Diceros bicornis minor: one gene and its partner. The protein of the gene in region 2 purifies or fractionates together with the protein of the main gene of each other region. This does not show direct contact. Links are inferred from orthologs where the notes say so. Each region holds a gene or a part of one and is shown on either strand. Other genes may lie near its edges.

Evidence for each region. The genes of interacting proteins can lie anywhere in the genome.
Region 1: the proteins of NCBP2 (region 2) and KPNA3 purify together in Homo sapiens (co-immunoprecipitation; 3 studies listed by BioGRID and IntAct, with this or other methods). This does not show direct contact. The link is inferred for Diceros bicornis minor from reciprocal best matches to the Homo sapiens genes NCBP2 and KPNA3.

The regions. Positions count from the first base shown.
Region 1 is NC_080748.1:27,437,738-27,444,933, reverse strand, and holds the start of KPNA3 (importin subunit alpha-4), read right to left. Parts: upstream 3,020-7,196; 5' UTR 2,932-3,019; coding exon 2,863-2,931; intron 1-2,862. UniProt on the Homo sapiens protein: Functions in nuclear protein import as an adapter protein for nuclear receptor KPNB1. Binds specifically and directly to substrates containing either a simple or bipartite NLS motif.
Region 2 is NC_080754.1:29,108,451-29,115,666, reverse strand, and holds the start of NCBP2 (nuclear cap-binding protein subunit 2), read left to right. Parts: upstream 1-4,212; 5' UTR 4,213-4,279; coding exon 4,280-4,357; intron 4,358-6,400; exon of another isoform or gene 6,401-6,647; intron 6,648-7,216. Other genes in the region: protein NCBP2AS2, read right to left, coding at 3,751-4,050. UniProt on the Homo sapiens protein: Component of the cap-binding complex (CBC), which binds co-transcriptionally to the 5' cap of pre-mRNAs and is involved in various processes such as pre-mRNA splicing, translation regulation, nonsense-mediated mRNA decay, RNA-mediated gene silencing (RNAi) by microRNAs (miRNAs) and mRNA export.

The sequences.
Region 1 (7,196 bases), on a different chromosome or scaffold from region 2:
TTTCTTCCTCAACCCTCTCCCCACTCACAATTCTCTGGCATAACTCTACACTTTTATTTTCTTTAGAAAATATGTATTTCATTCTTGCATCGAGCATCTTATTTGTGTATCAGCTAGTTGTATAATTTATACTATATCTTTTATCTATCCTATATGTGAAAAGGTAGGAATGATATCTTGCCAGAGCGAATCTCACTGTTTTGAAATAGCCTGATGATCGCTACTTAGTCACAGAGCTAAATCGTAGTATAAGTTTTTAATGTAATATAGTTTCTAATGGATAAGACTAAATTAGTTATGGTGTTTAGTCTTAGCGATACCTAAATCCACAATAAAGGATCAGATTTGATTAGATTTGACCCCAGTTTACCCTTTAGTCACATCTCGAGCACTCCTTTCTCTCACAGCAGTCCTACTACATTCTCTCAGGACTCTTCAATTACTGCCACCTCAAGTCTGGAATGCCCCTTCCTTGCCCTCTCCCTTTCCCCGGCCAACTTTCTTTCATCCTTCAGGATCAGCTCATTCCCATCAATCCACCAGGAATCAACCAGAACATCTCTCTTGACTGCTCAGCTCCAAGTTAGCATCTCTTCATGCATTCTCAGAATACACTTATTGATGTACTGCATTGTAATTATCAATTTACTTTTCTATCATTCCTACTGAACAGCAATCTCCTTGAGGAACTGCAAACTCCTTGAGGGACAGACTGAATTTTACTCCCTTTTGATCCCCAAGACGTAACATTATCAGACACCCAATAGACAATTAGTGAACAAATGCTCGTACCCACTTCGTGACCTTGCGCAGGCTACATGAAGCACTCTTGAGTTTCCTCATCTAAAGTGCTTTCCTTCTGTAAAGTGGGGACAATGCCATACCAAGCTCATAAAGTTGTTATAAGGATAAAATGAGGTATCATGAAGCTCTTAGTTTAGTCTCTGTCATATAGAACTACCATTTGAATGTCTGCCATTTCACCCCTTCGTTACCCTAATGTATCCTGGGAAACGTGATGTTGTTACTACCAATAGTTTCAGACTGAAAGGCTTAGCAACCACGTATCTTTTTCATGCATCCAGAAGTCACTGGTTACATTCTGATCATCAGCAAATATTTATTGTGCACTTATTACATGCAGGAATCCCTACTAGGTATCACTGTGTTCCCAGAACACAGTAACAGAGGCAAACAATAAAACAAAAACCTGTAACAACACCCAAGAAAGGAAAGAAAGTTGTCAGCTCTTCTCTACAAACAACATGCTTATTTTTCAAACTACATAAGTTTTGCTTTATAACAGGGGTAAGCTTCAAGAACAACTACTGATGGAAAAAGTTCAAAATTAACTCCTATCATCAAGTGGACCAATAACAGGAGGCAGTTCCAAAATTTCTTGTTGCTCTTCCTAAGTTTCACTTTTGCTTAGAAGTATTTCTCACAAAAGAAATTTAACCATGACCGAGGCAGAGATAGACGACCTTTATCTGTCTCATTCAAACGGGAATTCCACAGTATTTCCCTAGGTTTTTTCCAATTAGTATTTAATTTTGGAGCTCTGAAAAATGGCCTGAGTTTTGTCTGGTTTTCTACGAAACAAGGCTGAATGGCATATTTTCCCCACCACCTTCTCTCTGAGACAAAATGCACACTTCCTAGTCACACTGGCCCCTTAGCAAGAATTACAAAACTGCAAATCATGTCATCTAGCATTAGAAAAAAAGACTGTGGACTTAAAACCACTTTCCCCCTAACAAATCCAGAGGTCAAAGTCCCAGTGAAGTTTATGCATTATACTACACTGCTTTTAGTAGCTGCAGAGAGACCTCTAGCGCTGCCTCAATAAGCCGAGTTTGCAAATAGTACCTGCTAATGTCACCTTAATGAGACAATGGCAACATGCTGAGTAGCAACGAACTGTGACCACGATGAATGTTTACAGTTTTGCAACCACTCGGAAATTCTTCCAGCTGGGAGCAAGAGGTATATATAAGGCCGTATGAACCTACGTATCCAATTTATTTCAGTAAAACATGTCAAAGAAATTATTATCCTATACACACCCTCACTACAAGAAAGGCTAAGAAAACAAGTCTTGTGAGCGGAGGTCGGAACAACGTCTCTTCCGAAGCCTCAACACAATAGATGGTAAACTATTGTCCACCTTCAGCTTGCTCCAAATGCCAGCAGTAACAAGAGTATGAGCTGGATCAGCTCAGCACGACTAGTCCAAAGGACAGCCTTGGAATATCAGAAAATGGTCCTGGCGCATCCTACCCTCCCCCATCCACCACCCTCAAACAAGTCAGTTACCCGGCTGGTCCCCACCCCCCTCTGCGGGCCGCCACCGCCCGCCTGGGCCCGGCTCGCAGGAGGCAGGCGCGGGGACCGGCAGAGCCGAGGCTCCATGTGCGGCAGGGCGGGACGCAGCGAGGGGCTGCGCCGGGCGGGAGGCTGCACGGGCAGCCGGCGCGAGCCGCGCCGCCCCCTCGGCGGTGCGGTCGACTGACCGGGGCGGCAGCATCCCCGGCCCGCGAGGCCCCGGCCCGCGGACCCCGCCTCAGCTCTACATCCCTTCCTCGCCGACAGCAGGCCGCGCCCGCGTGACGGAGCCGAAAACCCCGGCATTTCCCGGTCCCCGCGCCGGCAGCCCCGGAGGGTGGCTGCAGCCCGGCCCGCGTCCCGCCGTCCGCTCCGCCCAGCCCCGGGCCGCGGTGACGGCAGGCGGCGGCCAACTCTGACCCACCGCGAGCCGGCGAGAACCAGCCCGGCGCCGGCCCCCCGCCCCTCCCCGCCGCCGGGGGCCAGCGCGGCCAGGCGGGCGAGCCGGGCGGGCCCCGACCGCGGAAGCACACTCACTTCCACATCGCGGCCCTTGTTCTTAAAGCTCTTGATGCGGTGGTTCTCCAAGCCGGGGTTCTCAGCCATGGCTGCGCGCGGCTCCGGCGGCGGCTACTCCTGCGGCTGCGGCGACGGCGGCGAGTCTCGGCGCGGGAGGGGGAGGTGGGGGAGGACGGGATGGGAAGGGAGGGGGAGGGGGAGAGGCGAGCACGTTCCGTGACGCCTCCGAGCGCGAGGTGGCAGCAGCGCCGGGGGAGGCGCAGGCCGTCGGCCGGGCGGGGAGGAGTGGGGCGGGAACAGCGCAGAGGAGCTGCGCGCGCGCCCGGGGAGGCTGGGGGTCACGTGACCAGGGGCGGCCACGGGCCTGGACTCCGGCTGATTGTGCCCGGTTGTTCTCGGGGTGACTCCCACCCCACCCAACAAGGCCTTCCCGCAACCCCTAGGGCCTGCAAGTCCTGTGCCAACAACGGAGCCGTACTGAGCGGCTTTACTGCCCGCTAGACGCGGAGCACTGGGGGGGGGGGGGGGGACTACAGTTCCCAGCATGCCAGACTCCAGTGGGGGTAATTCTCCTAGCCTTGACAGAACGAAAAGAATGCCGGGAACACTAAGCGCGCGCCTTTCTGCGCGGCGCGCTCTGAGCTCCTTGTCGCGAAGCTCCGCCTCTAAGGCCGCCTCTGGGCGGGGAAGCGGGAGGAGCTTCCCCGGAGACGGCACCTTGCGCCCTATTGGGAAGGAGGGGGCAGGGCTTTCTGAGAGGCTCACCTCTCTCCCTGCAGCCTAGAAAATGCATAACCGACGCAGGGTTCGTGGTTTGCTCACTTGCTTCTCTGGGGTCTCGTGGAGTATCAGCCACCCTCCTTCGCTGTTCTCTTGGTCTGCTTTGGTTTTATAAATAGCATTCATTTCCACCTGACATGTACATATGTATGTATGTGATATGTGTGTTTATGTGTGTGTTACCTAGCTTATCGCACCGGAATTAACTCAGTAAGAGCAGGGACGTTGGCTGAATCCCTTGCATCAAAAGTGCCTGGCACGTCGTGAATACTCCATAAATACCTGAACAAATGAGCGCTCTAGCGTCTCTCGGTTTCTTCATCATCCTTCCAAGCCCGGTTCTGCAACCTTCATTATAGGAGGTCCTGCATTTCTGTGCCCCAAACACCTCTTGTTCCACCACCACACATAATCTTCTCAGCCTTTAGGCAGCAGTCAAGTACTCGTCCGCAGACTCGCCAGTCTAGCATCTCTCTTTAGATGTCATCGGAGGAATGATCAAGGGAAATTTGGATCTATAACACTAATAGAGTATTGCTTTCTGGAGCAAGTGGACTTCTTTGATTATATGTGAAATAATTCAGTTTCAGAATCTATGGCAGATAGAAGAGGTATGCGATGTTACAGTACAATTCAAATGACACTGAGGTCATTCAAACGTTGGTAGAAATATAACCATAAAGAGATTAAAGAAGACATTCTTTCAAAGCAAAGGGGCCTTGAAGAGCCTGGGTCCAGAGGTAAAAAAATGAGGCCTTTGGTGGCCAGGCTATGTCTGGGGCATTTGTTTTGTTAGTGATGGGACATTGGCTTTTTGATAAAACACAGGCCCATTTAAAGGCTTCAGACCATTGTTGCCATATTGTACTGTGGGCCAGTCTTGCCAAAGGTTCATTTTTTTAAGGCAAACCAAAAAGCTGGGTTCTTTTTACTTCATTTTTAAATGTTGATTCACATTTTCTAATGCACTTCTGTGAATCAGTCACTTTAGAACTCCAGGCTCTTACTTTGTACTATGTGATCCTAGTCCAACCACTCATTTGAAGAGGGGGAAAAAAACCAAAACTGAAGCTTAGAGTGAATAGATTGCTTCAACTCTAGTTCTTCAGGTGATGGAAAGTGCATGTTTGCCACTTTCGCTGATTGACTGGAAGAGAAACTTCTAGACTGTTGCTCAGTCTCTATTATAATTGAGCAAGGCATTCTCTTTTCAGGTTACTTTACCCCCTGCTACCACTTCTCTTCACCCTACTTGCTGTCATCAGATGTGTTGTCTTTCATCATTCTGAAGTTTTAGACATATTTAGTGAGCACTTACCATGTGTCAGTCATTGCACCAACACTAGGATACATTTGTAAACAAGACAGCCTGGTTCCTGCTTCCACACAGCTTCGTGTCTTTCAGAGTAGACAGACAATAAAATAAGTGGTCACCCCAAAAGTGTGGTGGGTGTCAAGGCTCACAGTAGGGAGATCTTTATAACCTGCTGATTCCTAAGACTCCTTACATATGAGGGCAAGATCACAAATGGAGGTCTACATAGCACATATATAAATATTTAAAAATTATACATCAAGCTTACAAACTTAAATAAAATATATTCTAACCTTTGACATTGACAAATGCACTTCCTTTGCAACCTGGAAGTCTGGGTTTGAATTCTAACGTCCCAACTTCTTGGACTTCTGCTTCAGAATTTGGTGGTGCAAAGAGGGCTGGAAGCCAGCCCCCAGCCCATTTTTTGTTCTTCTTCTCTTCCATGTCCCGGCGCCATCCTATACTGGAATAGACCTTAAGAACATGTGTGCATACCTCTACCCACGAAGTTCAAGTCCTGCTTCTCACCACTAAAGCTCTATTTACATCCCCCTACCCACCTCAAGAGATGCCCCTTAGCCATTGCTCAGGCCTAGAGCGTGCAAAGCAGTAGCATCGTGTGCCCCCAAAGGGATGGACCCAGGAAAGAGGCCTGAGAAGGCCCTGGAAGGAGGCGTGGCCATTGAGCAGGGAACCCCAGGGCTCTGGTATCCAGAGCTGGGTCTAGAGGCAAGGTTCCAGTGAGCATGAATCCTTGGCCGCATGGACTCCCGACGGGGAGTGGTGCAGCTGAAGAGAGCCAGAGTGAGGTCCTCTAAAGGGCAGGGTCCAGAGCAGGGCCCCCTCTTGCCCAGGTCTAACTTAGTCAGTTTTACTCTTTGCCATTATCCCTGGTGACTTCAACATCCACACACCTGGTACCCTGACCCCAGAGTCTCTCCACATTCTTAACTCTACCAGATTTCTACCACTTGTAGCTCCCACCAGGCCTTAGAGTTCTTAATCTCTGGGAAATAACTGCCTCCAGTGACTCAAATTTGGTGCTTCCCGTTGTTAGCAACCATCTCCTCTTTTCCCTCACTCTAGTCTTTGCCTTTGCCCTGAAACTTCTCCTGACAACTCTTCTTTTAAATAGATTTCTTTTCCAAACATATTTTTAGTATCCACCATATATCAAGCATTGTATCCATCAGGGACTTACATTAAGGAGCAGGGGAGTGGGGAGCAGAGCAGAGACAGGAAGGAAGGGCCCTCAAAGCCTGGGTGGTCAGTCACACTCTTCTTCTTCCTCTGACTCACCACCCACCTTCCCAGCGGATAGTCAGGTGGCAATACGCAGAAGGCAACACAAACACAACAGATCCAACATGGAGTTCCTGATTTTCCTCCTGAAGCTCTTTCTGCAAATTTGCCTACTCTGTTAATGGCATAACCATTCTTCCAGGGACTCCACTCAAAGCTAAGAGCCATCTTTACTCCCTGCCTCTCTCCCAACTCCCTCACCTAGTCACCTTGTTAATTCACCACTCAGTGCTTCTTGAATCTGGCTCTTCTTCCCATGCCACCCACAAGTCCACCTTAAGGCATCCTAACTGGTTCCCCTGCCTCCTCCATCCTCTCCACAACAATCTGACTAACTTCTCCAGATCTTCCTGATTTTACCTCTTCTCCCCACATCCAGTACACCCCTCCCCCTCACCATTGTCAAATCATTTCTAAATTCCTCAGTCTGGTGGTTAAGAACATGTGTGATCCAGCCACAGTGCAGTACACTTTTCTTATTTCTGACTCCCCTGCACAGAGCTTATGCTTCAGCTAACATGTTCTACTCAACCCTTCCCAAGTATGTCTTAGCCTTTCCAGCCTTCATATCTTTGCTGTTCAATTTATCTATAAAGCCCTGGCCCTATCTCTACCTGTCAAAATTGGTCCCTCTTTAAATGCTCAGCCTAAGAGTTTGCCCTCTCCGTGAAGCTTTCCCAGCATGGTGCAGTAGAGGGACCGGCAGAATCTGAACACTCAGACCCACTCAGAGTTCTGAACACTCGGAATCTGGTAGGGTTGACTTCCTACCAGAGCAAGCCCAGGCAAGTCACCTTCCTTGAACCATCTTCTCATCTACGAATGAGAATTCTGAATCGCTGGGTTTTTGTGAGAATTAAGTTGGAAGTGCTTTGAAATTGCTACATTAATGTTAGTTGTTAACTGTCTTTCCAACCAGGAGTGATATCTTCCTCTCTGAACTTCAGAAGAA
Region 2 (7,216 bases):
CCTTCTGGGTGAGCTGGCATGCTTCTTCCCTCAAAGACCAAAGATTTGACCAGTCATGGTCCTGATCCCAAGGTCCCCAAAGAACCTGGTGTAACCAATGGCGCCTAATGTCTGTTTCTGTCATATTCCTTCCAGCCACTGTGATGTTTTAAATATATAATAGCACCTGGTTGTGAAAGAGACAATGATCTGCTAATGTCATTCCCAAATGGTCTCTCCCAAACCTTCCAGGATGCCTTACCGCTTGCTGTCTTGACAACCCTTTGGCTTCCTAGATCCCTGGAAGGAGGCAGTGTGGTGATGTTGAGAAAGCAGGTAGCTCAGATTCAGGGGACCTGAGTTCTAGTTCCTGGTCTGCCACTTACTGGCTGTGTGATCTTAAGAAAGCCCCTTTCCTTCACCCAGCCTCAGTTTCCCAATCTGTACAATGGATCAGAGGATCTCTGCAGTGTCTGCCAGCTAACACTGTCACTCCTGGGTCTGTAGCACATGTCCCCTGGCTAGACAGCTATGTGTCTCCCAGAGGTCTCTAAGCAGAGAAGCAGGTGTACTGTTGTACTTAATGGCATGTTGGTGCCTGCTGTCTCAGTGTTCCGTAATTACCAAAACAAGTAATTCTGGAACTTTTCTTCCCACTCTCTTCTACTCCTGTCCCTGAGAGAGGTGGTGGGACATTTCTGCATCTCACCCTTTAAAGATCATCGTCCCAGATGAGGGAGCTCAGATGTTCTCCCTCCTCAGCCTGCCCCACTAGGAATGGAGAACACACGATGCTCAGTCAGTATCTGGCGGCACTTGAGGACAACCTGGCGCTCCCAGAGGCCCTTCTTAAATGTGGTCTGTTCACTTTCCAAGTTCAAAGCTCCTGTCTGAAACCTCTCTTCACAGGATGGAGAGCAAACCCCATGCCAAACCAACACCTGCTGCTCTGGTGGAAGCCATCACACCCCTGGGCATGTTGCTCCCAACATAGGGTACCCCTACCCAGTCCACTGGGAATGTGAGGAGCTGTGGCTACCATTCATGAGAACCGCTACCATTTCATGAGAACACCCAGGCCACAGGGGTCAGTGAGCTGGAGGTCAGCGCAGAGCAGGAGACCAAACCTGTACGAATGACCAAACCTGAGCACTTCTCTAGCTCTGCATTCTGCCCGCTAAAGCCTTGGGTCATCTTAAAGCCACACCCTTACCCCGGCATGCTGCTCTGTGGCTGCTGCTAGGGTCTTAGTGCCACACTTTCCTCATGACTCCAACCTGGAGGAAGAGGAAAAAGTGGTAAGCTGGTAAATGTTTAGCAACCTGTTCTCTGGTGCAAAAAAGCCCCCATTTGTAGCATTTGCCAATTTCTGGGTATAAATACTCCCAGCATGGCTCTGAGAGGGGAGGAGATGCCAAGGATCTGCTCTGTATAGGCTGCCTCTAGCACACTCCCAGACGTTTCCCTACGTTAAACTCTACAGTACCCTTTCAGGACAATTCACTGTTCTTGTGGTCTATTTCTGCTATGAAGCTCTGATTGGTCTTCTTACCCCTACTGCTTAGCATCATCTCTGGAACACGATAAGCATGTATTTGTTTACTATGCTGCCAAAGATGGCTTTCCTGCCCAACAGATAAAAACCAAGTGCCACCTTGGAGACATCCCAGACTCTAGGGGGGGTCCCAAACTCCTCTGGGCTTCTTGGGACTTCTGCCTCTTCCTTCCCTCAATTGGGTCCACAACCTCAGAATTCCCTGGAGGAACCACTGGTGTAGCAGTCCACGTGGATTGTGGTGGTCTGAGTTCAAATGAATTTGTCCATAAACCGTTGGTATCTAAATCTGTGTGGCATCAGGGGTGAGTCGGAATTGCCCTGCAGTATAGCAGGGTGAGTTGCCTCCCTGTTTCCCTTTCTGGAAGAGCTTAGAAGAGCTTAAAAGGCATGCTGGGAAATCGCTGCTACTGGGGGTGGTGGGAAGAGTTTGGTCTGTTTCTTGAGTCATAGGGTAACCGGTGGGATGGCAAGCCACTGACTACAAACACTGGAGGCTTCTCCAACGAAGGGGGTAGGCATGTAAATCACCTCCAGCTGCACAGAAAAGACCCAGTTCTCTCTCTCCTCCCAGACTCCTTCTACAAAAATGGAGGGAACGCAGTTCTTATACACTTCTTTGACAAAAAATAAACTGCTCCCTTCGCTTGCTTTCCTTCCTTTCTTACCAAATGGCCAGTTTATCTGGAAGCTGCATTGCTTCCTGTACTGCTTCTCTTTCTGACTCTGCTGGTCTGGAAAAAGACCTAACAGTGAGTGTGCTTATTTATGTTGAGGGTAAGGGGTTGGGCTGGGGACTGCCAATATTCTGCTCCTCTGATATCCAGAGTAATGAGTGGGATTGAGACCAATGAGGCAGACAAGTCAGAATGAACAAATTCCTCAAGCTCCTCACTGCCAGGCTCAGAGGAGAAGCCAGTGAATTGCCTCTGGTCTGGGAGAGGATTTGTCTTCTAATGGGAGGACAGGAAGATAGGACACATGCCAAATCAGGACTTTGGTAATTAGGAGACTGGGACCTCTGGCTTCAGAGAGGATTAAATAGCAGCACCTCTGATAGGAAGACTGGAGAGTGGGATGTGAAGTCAAAAGTCTGACCATTAGGAAAGTGGAGGACCAGCTACTTTAGCTTCTCCATCTCCAGCGTAGGTCTATGGCTCTATCTAACTCTCTCTCTGTGACTATCAGAAAAGCCAGAGTATAAATTGTCTTTGGTTACCAGCCTAAAAGCTTCTCCTGTGGTTTCGAGCTTTCTAGATCACATGATTAACTGTGTAGCCTAATTAGAGGTGATCAGATATGCAGTCAAAAGCCTCAAATGACGCCATTTCTGTGTACAATGAATTTCCTAACCATGGCTCCATTCGCTGGACCATAGTCTTTAGATTGTATCCCAGACCCTCTAAAATGGGGAACAGGAATCCAGGCAGCTTGTTCCACGTAGGCAGGAGTCCTAACACCCAACGGTGGTGATGGTGGGAGGCGGGCAACGAAGGTCCGGGTAAATGTGGCAGGGAGCCCTGACTAAGGATTTAGGCCCTGGAGTCAAACGCCTGTATTCACATCCCACTCTGTAAGGCCACGGGCAACTTAAGGAGTAGCCTACACTTCCTGATGTGAAACTGGCTGTAAAGAGTTAAGTGAGCTAACCCACACAGAGTGCATTAGCTGGTGCCAGCACTGAGTAAGCACCCAATACGTGTTCACTAGTATTACCATGTGCCTACAGTCCCCAGGAATCCTAACCCATCTTGCCGGAGAAGTACCACGCTCATACCCATTACCCAGCTCACACATTTAATCAGAGGATTTTGGCAGCTGCAGGGCTGTCTTCCCATCCATGATCTCCCCTGGAAGTCACGCCCTGCTAGCACATCAGTGCAGAGGCAGCATCATAGACCACGAGTTTTAGTCCCATTCGCGGAGGGCAGACTGTCTTTCGGGCTGAGGTTTGGTCCGTGGCTCCCTGTCCGTGATGTATCCAGGCCCAGCCTATCTTTCTTCCTCTCAGGCTTCGGGGGCTTCCTTCACACACGGTGCCCTGTCGGATCACAGGGCTTCACCCAGCTCTGGCCAGTGGGACCCCGGCAGGCCGACGATCTGAGTCAGGATTCGAAGCCGCGCGCAGTGCCCGGGGTGACTCCTTAGCGCCGAGGCCTGTGTCGAGCCTAGAAGGGAAAGCAGGCGACCTCGGCCCGGCCCAGCCCAGCCCGGGTTCAGGGGTTTGCGCCCGGGCCCCGCCGGCTACCTGGTGGTGGCCCCGGGCGTTCCCGGAGGCCGCGGCGTAGCTCCTGAGTGAAGGTGTCTTTGAAGCGGGCAGCCCGGCGGCCCAGGGAGCCCGCGGGCCCAGCCGCGAGGCGTCGCAGGCGCCGGGCCGCGTCCTGGCCGCGCAGCTGGGCCTGCAGCAGTGCGAAGGCCGTGAGCTGCGCCGCGCGCCGGATCGGCCGCGACTCGGACAGACGCTCCACCAGCTGCTGGCTGTGCAGCAGGGCGCCCAGCAGCCGCCGAAGAACCATCCTCGGAGCCACCCGGAACCCGAAGCACGCCGCTCTTGCTTCTGCTCGGCGCTCCCCAACAACGGACCACGTCTGCGCCCGCGCCGCTGGGTGACGACACTGCCACGCTTGGATTGGGCCGCACGATTCCGACTTTCTGCAACCGCCCCCGCGCGTTTCCGCTTCCGCCTGGGCCGCGGCGGCCTCGTTGTTCCCGGAGTGGCGGCGTCGCCGACCAGCTGTGTGCACTATGTCCGGCGGCCTCCTGAAGGCGCTGCGCAGCGACTCGTACGTGGAGCTGAGCCAGTACCGGGACCAGCACTTCCGGGTGAGGGAGGCCGGGCTGCGAGAAGGGAAGGCCCTAGGCCGGGACGCCGAGAATCGGTTTGCTCTTGTCTCATTGTGTCGTCTCCCGTTCTCCAGTTTCCCGGGACGCGAAGAGAGGCCCCGGTGCCTCCTGGGGAATGGATGCTGAAAGGGCGTTTGGATGTCAGTGAAGCCCCATCTCTCATAGAAAGGGAGTTTGAGGCTCGCTTTCCCATTCCCTTGCAGCCGCTGCCTGTTAGCGGGCCACTGCAGAGCGGTTTGAGCGGCAGTAGTGGTGGCTCACGTTTTCACGGGCTGTGTCTCGGGAAGCTGACTTGGCGATGAGGGGAAGAGGTGTCCTTTGACGCCTGGAGTATGTGGAGGCGCCTTCCTGACCCAGATAGTGGGACTTTTTATTGCTTTTTAAAATTTTAAGTTAAATTAGCCAAACTGCCCCTTGGCGCTTCGAGTCCTGTCCTTGGTCTGGTAGAACGGTCCTACACAGTTCTACGCGGTGGATGGGAGACACAAATTTGAGTCCTGTCTCCACCCTTAGGGAAGCCCTTGGAGTGGGGAGGTGGACCAGCCAAGCTAGGCACATTAAGTGTCTGGATATCAGGATCAGAGAACTGCTGGGTTTCAGAAGGGGGAAATTTCAGTTTCGCCTATGTCATAGTAGATTATGTGGAAAAGGGAAGGCTGCAGATATTCGGGGTACGCTCTTCAGTATCAGCAAAGGCGGGGGTGGGGTGGACGACACATGAACCACTGGTTATTCAGTAAACTTTTATTGAGTGTTGTTGCTGAAGCCTTCTGCTAAACCTTAAAGGGAGAGAGAAGACAGTTTCGGCACCCTTAGAGTTCATAATCCTCTAGTAGGGATGGTAAATAGAGGTAAGTAACCTTAATCTAGAGCAGAAATGATGAGTGGAAAGGGAGGGGCTGTGAGGAATCAGAAGGGAGAACCCTTATGACTGGGAAAGGAGGGCCACATATAAAAGAGGGTAGGCATGGAGAATGTAAAATGTGTTGGTAGGGAAAAGGAAATTTTGTTTGAGGCGAAATTGAGGAAGATCTTAAATTCATTCACTCAGTCAACAGTTTTTAAATGCTTACTCTATGCCGGGCATGATTTTCACTTCTATTACTTTCACAGTTCTCATTACTTTAGAAAGTTCCACATCATAACCATCTTGAATTTCAAGCATCCTGCAAGATTAAAACTGTGAACAGTTTTAATTAACAGATAAACAGAAAAACGACTTTTTCTGTTATTCATCTCTGCAAGTCTAAAGCCTATAGCTTTATTTAGTAGAAAGATACTGTGATGCGGAATTTCTAGTGTTCCCTGAATGGAATCCACGTTAACATCACACGTTAAGTACTTACACCACAGTTGTCTTAAGCCATAGGGTATTTGTTTGGACATTACTTACAAGTGGGAGAAAACTAGAAAGAAAAATAAATGCCTCCTGACCATAATTTTAACAAATCAGTAACAGCAGTAATATAAAGTGAATCACTTTAATGTCTCATTCCAAAGTTCTGAAAGCCTATTTTAATGTAGAATGACTCTTGTCCTGTGAACTTTTTAGGGAGTATGAGATTGGGGATAAGACAGGGTTTGGATTCCAGCTACAACTACTGAGTAGCTGTGTGACCTTGGACAAGTTACTTAATAGTCTTTCCTCAGGTGTAAAACGGGGATAATAAATTAGGACATACCTCATTCAGTTCTGAAAATTAAATGAGCCCTCATACATGGAAATCCCTGACCTGCAGTTCCTTGATTCTCCCTAGAGGCAGACATAATTAACTGTTTCTTGTGTATGATATCTGTGTATATTCATACTTTTATGTAACTTGCAGCATACCTTTCACGTTCTGTACCTTCTTTTTTCACTTTGCTCTCTCTCGGAGATGTTCCATATCACTGCATGTGGATGTTAGATTTTTTTTGGGACTGCATAGTTTTATATTTATTGATGTACCATAATTTATTCCATTTTCCTTTTGATGGATGTGAGTTCAGATGGTTTCTCTGTTCTACCACTGAATGTGATCAGGAGACCTATTACTCAGCACTGTGCTGCAAAGCATTCAGACACGAATAATGCAGTCTTAGTCTCTGAGTGAAGGAAGCTGGATCAGCATTATGTATGGTGTAGTACATGAAGAAGGGAGGCCTCTTGGGAAATGCTCTGGGGGCCTGAGTATGGATCTACTGAGCTACTTTCCAAGCTGGAATACCACTGTATGGTTGATGTTAGAGCCGTAACCTGGGTCAGAGGGGCCTGCGAGCAGGTCACTTGGTAGGTCTTCTATTTAATCAGTATTCGTCCTCCCCAGTGTGGAGGAGGTGAGAAGAGAAAGTCGGAGGACGGCCACACAGGTTTCTGTGAAGCCATCTAAAATACCACGTCTAGCCCATGATGAGCCATCTTGTCCCCAGGGATTGTCAGGTGTGTTGGCTGAAGTCCAGTTGTATTCCTCTCGCTTCATCTTGTCTTCCAAATTAGGAAGCCCATCAAGAAAGTGAGATATCTTATTTTTAGTGATCCCTACATTTTCTTCTAAACTCAGAGAAAAATATATGAGCATGTAAAACCATCTAAGCAGTTGTTGCTTTGAACATTCTCTATGGAAGTATTATAAGGCAGTTCCCTATCTCTGAAAATCCGTTTATTTTTCATCATGAAGGATAAAAGGGTCCCCTCTAATATATTGGTTCAAGGTCCAGAAATTAAATTTGGGCCATTAGAGAAGGAGCCAGTGCTGAGGATATGGGGTGTACAGGGAAAAGGCATGCCACTTGTGTGGCAGTATAGTGCAGGAGGAGGACCTGCATAGTGCTTCATGGACTCTTTTTTTTTTTGGCAAG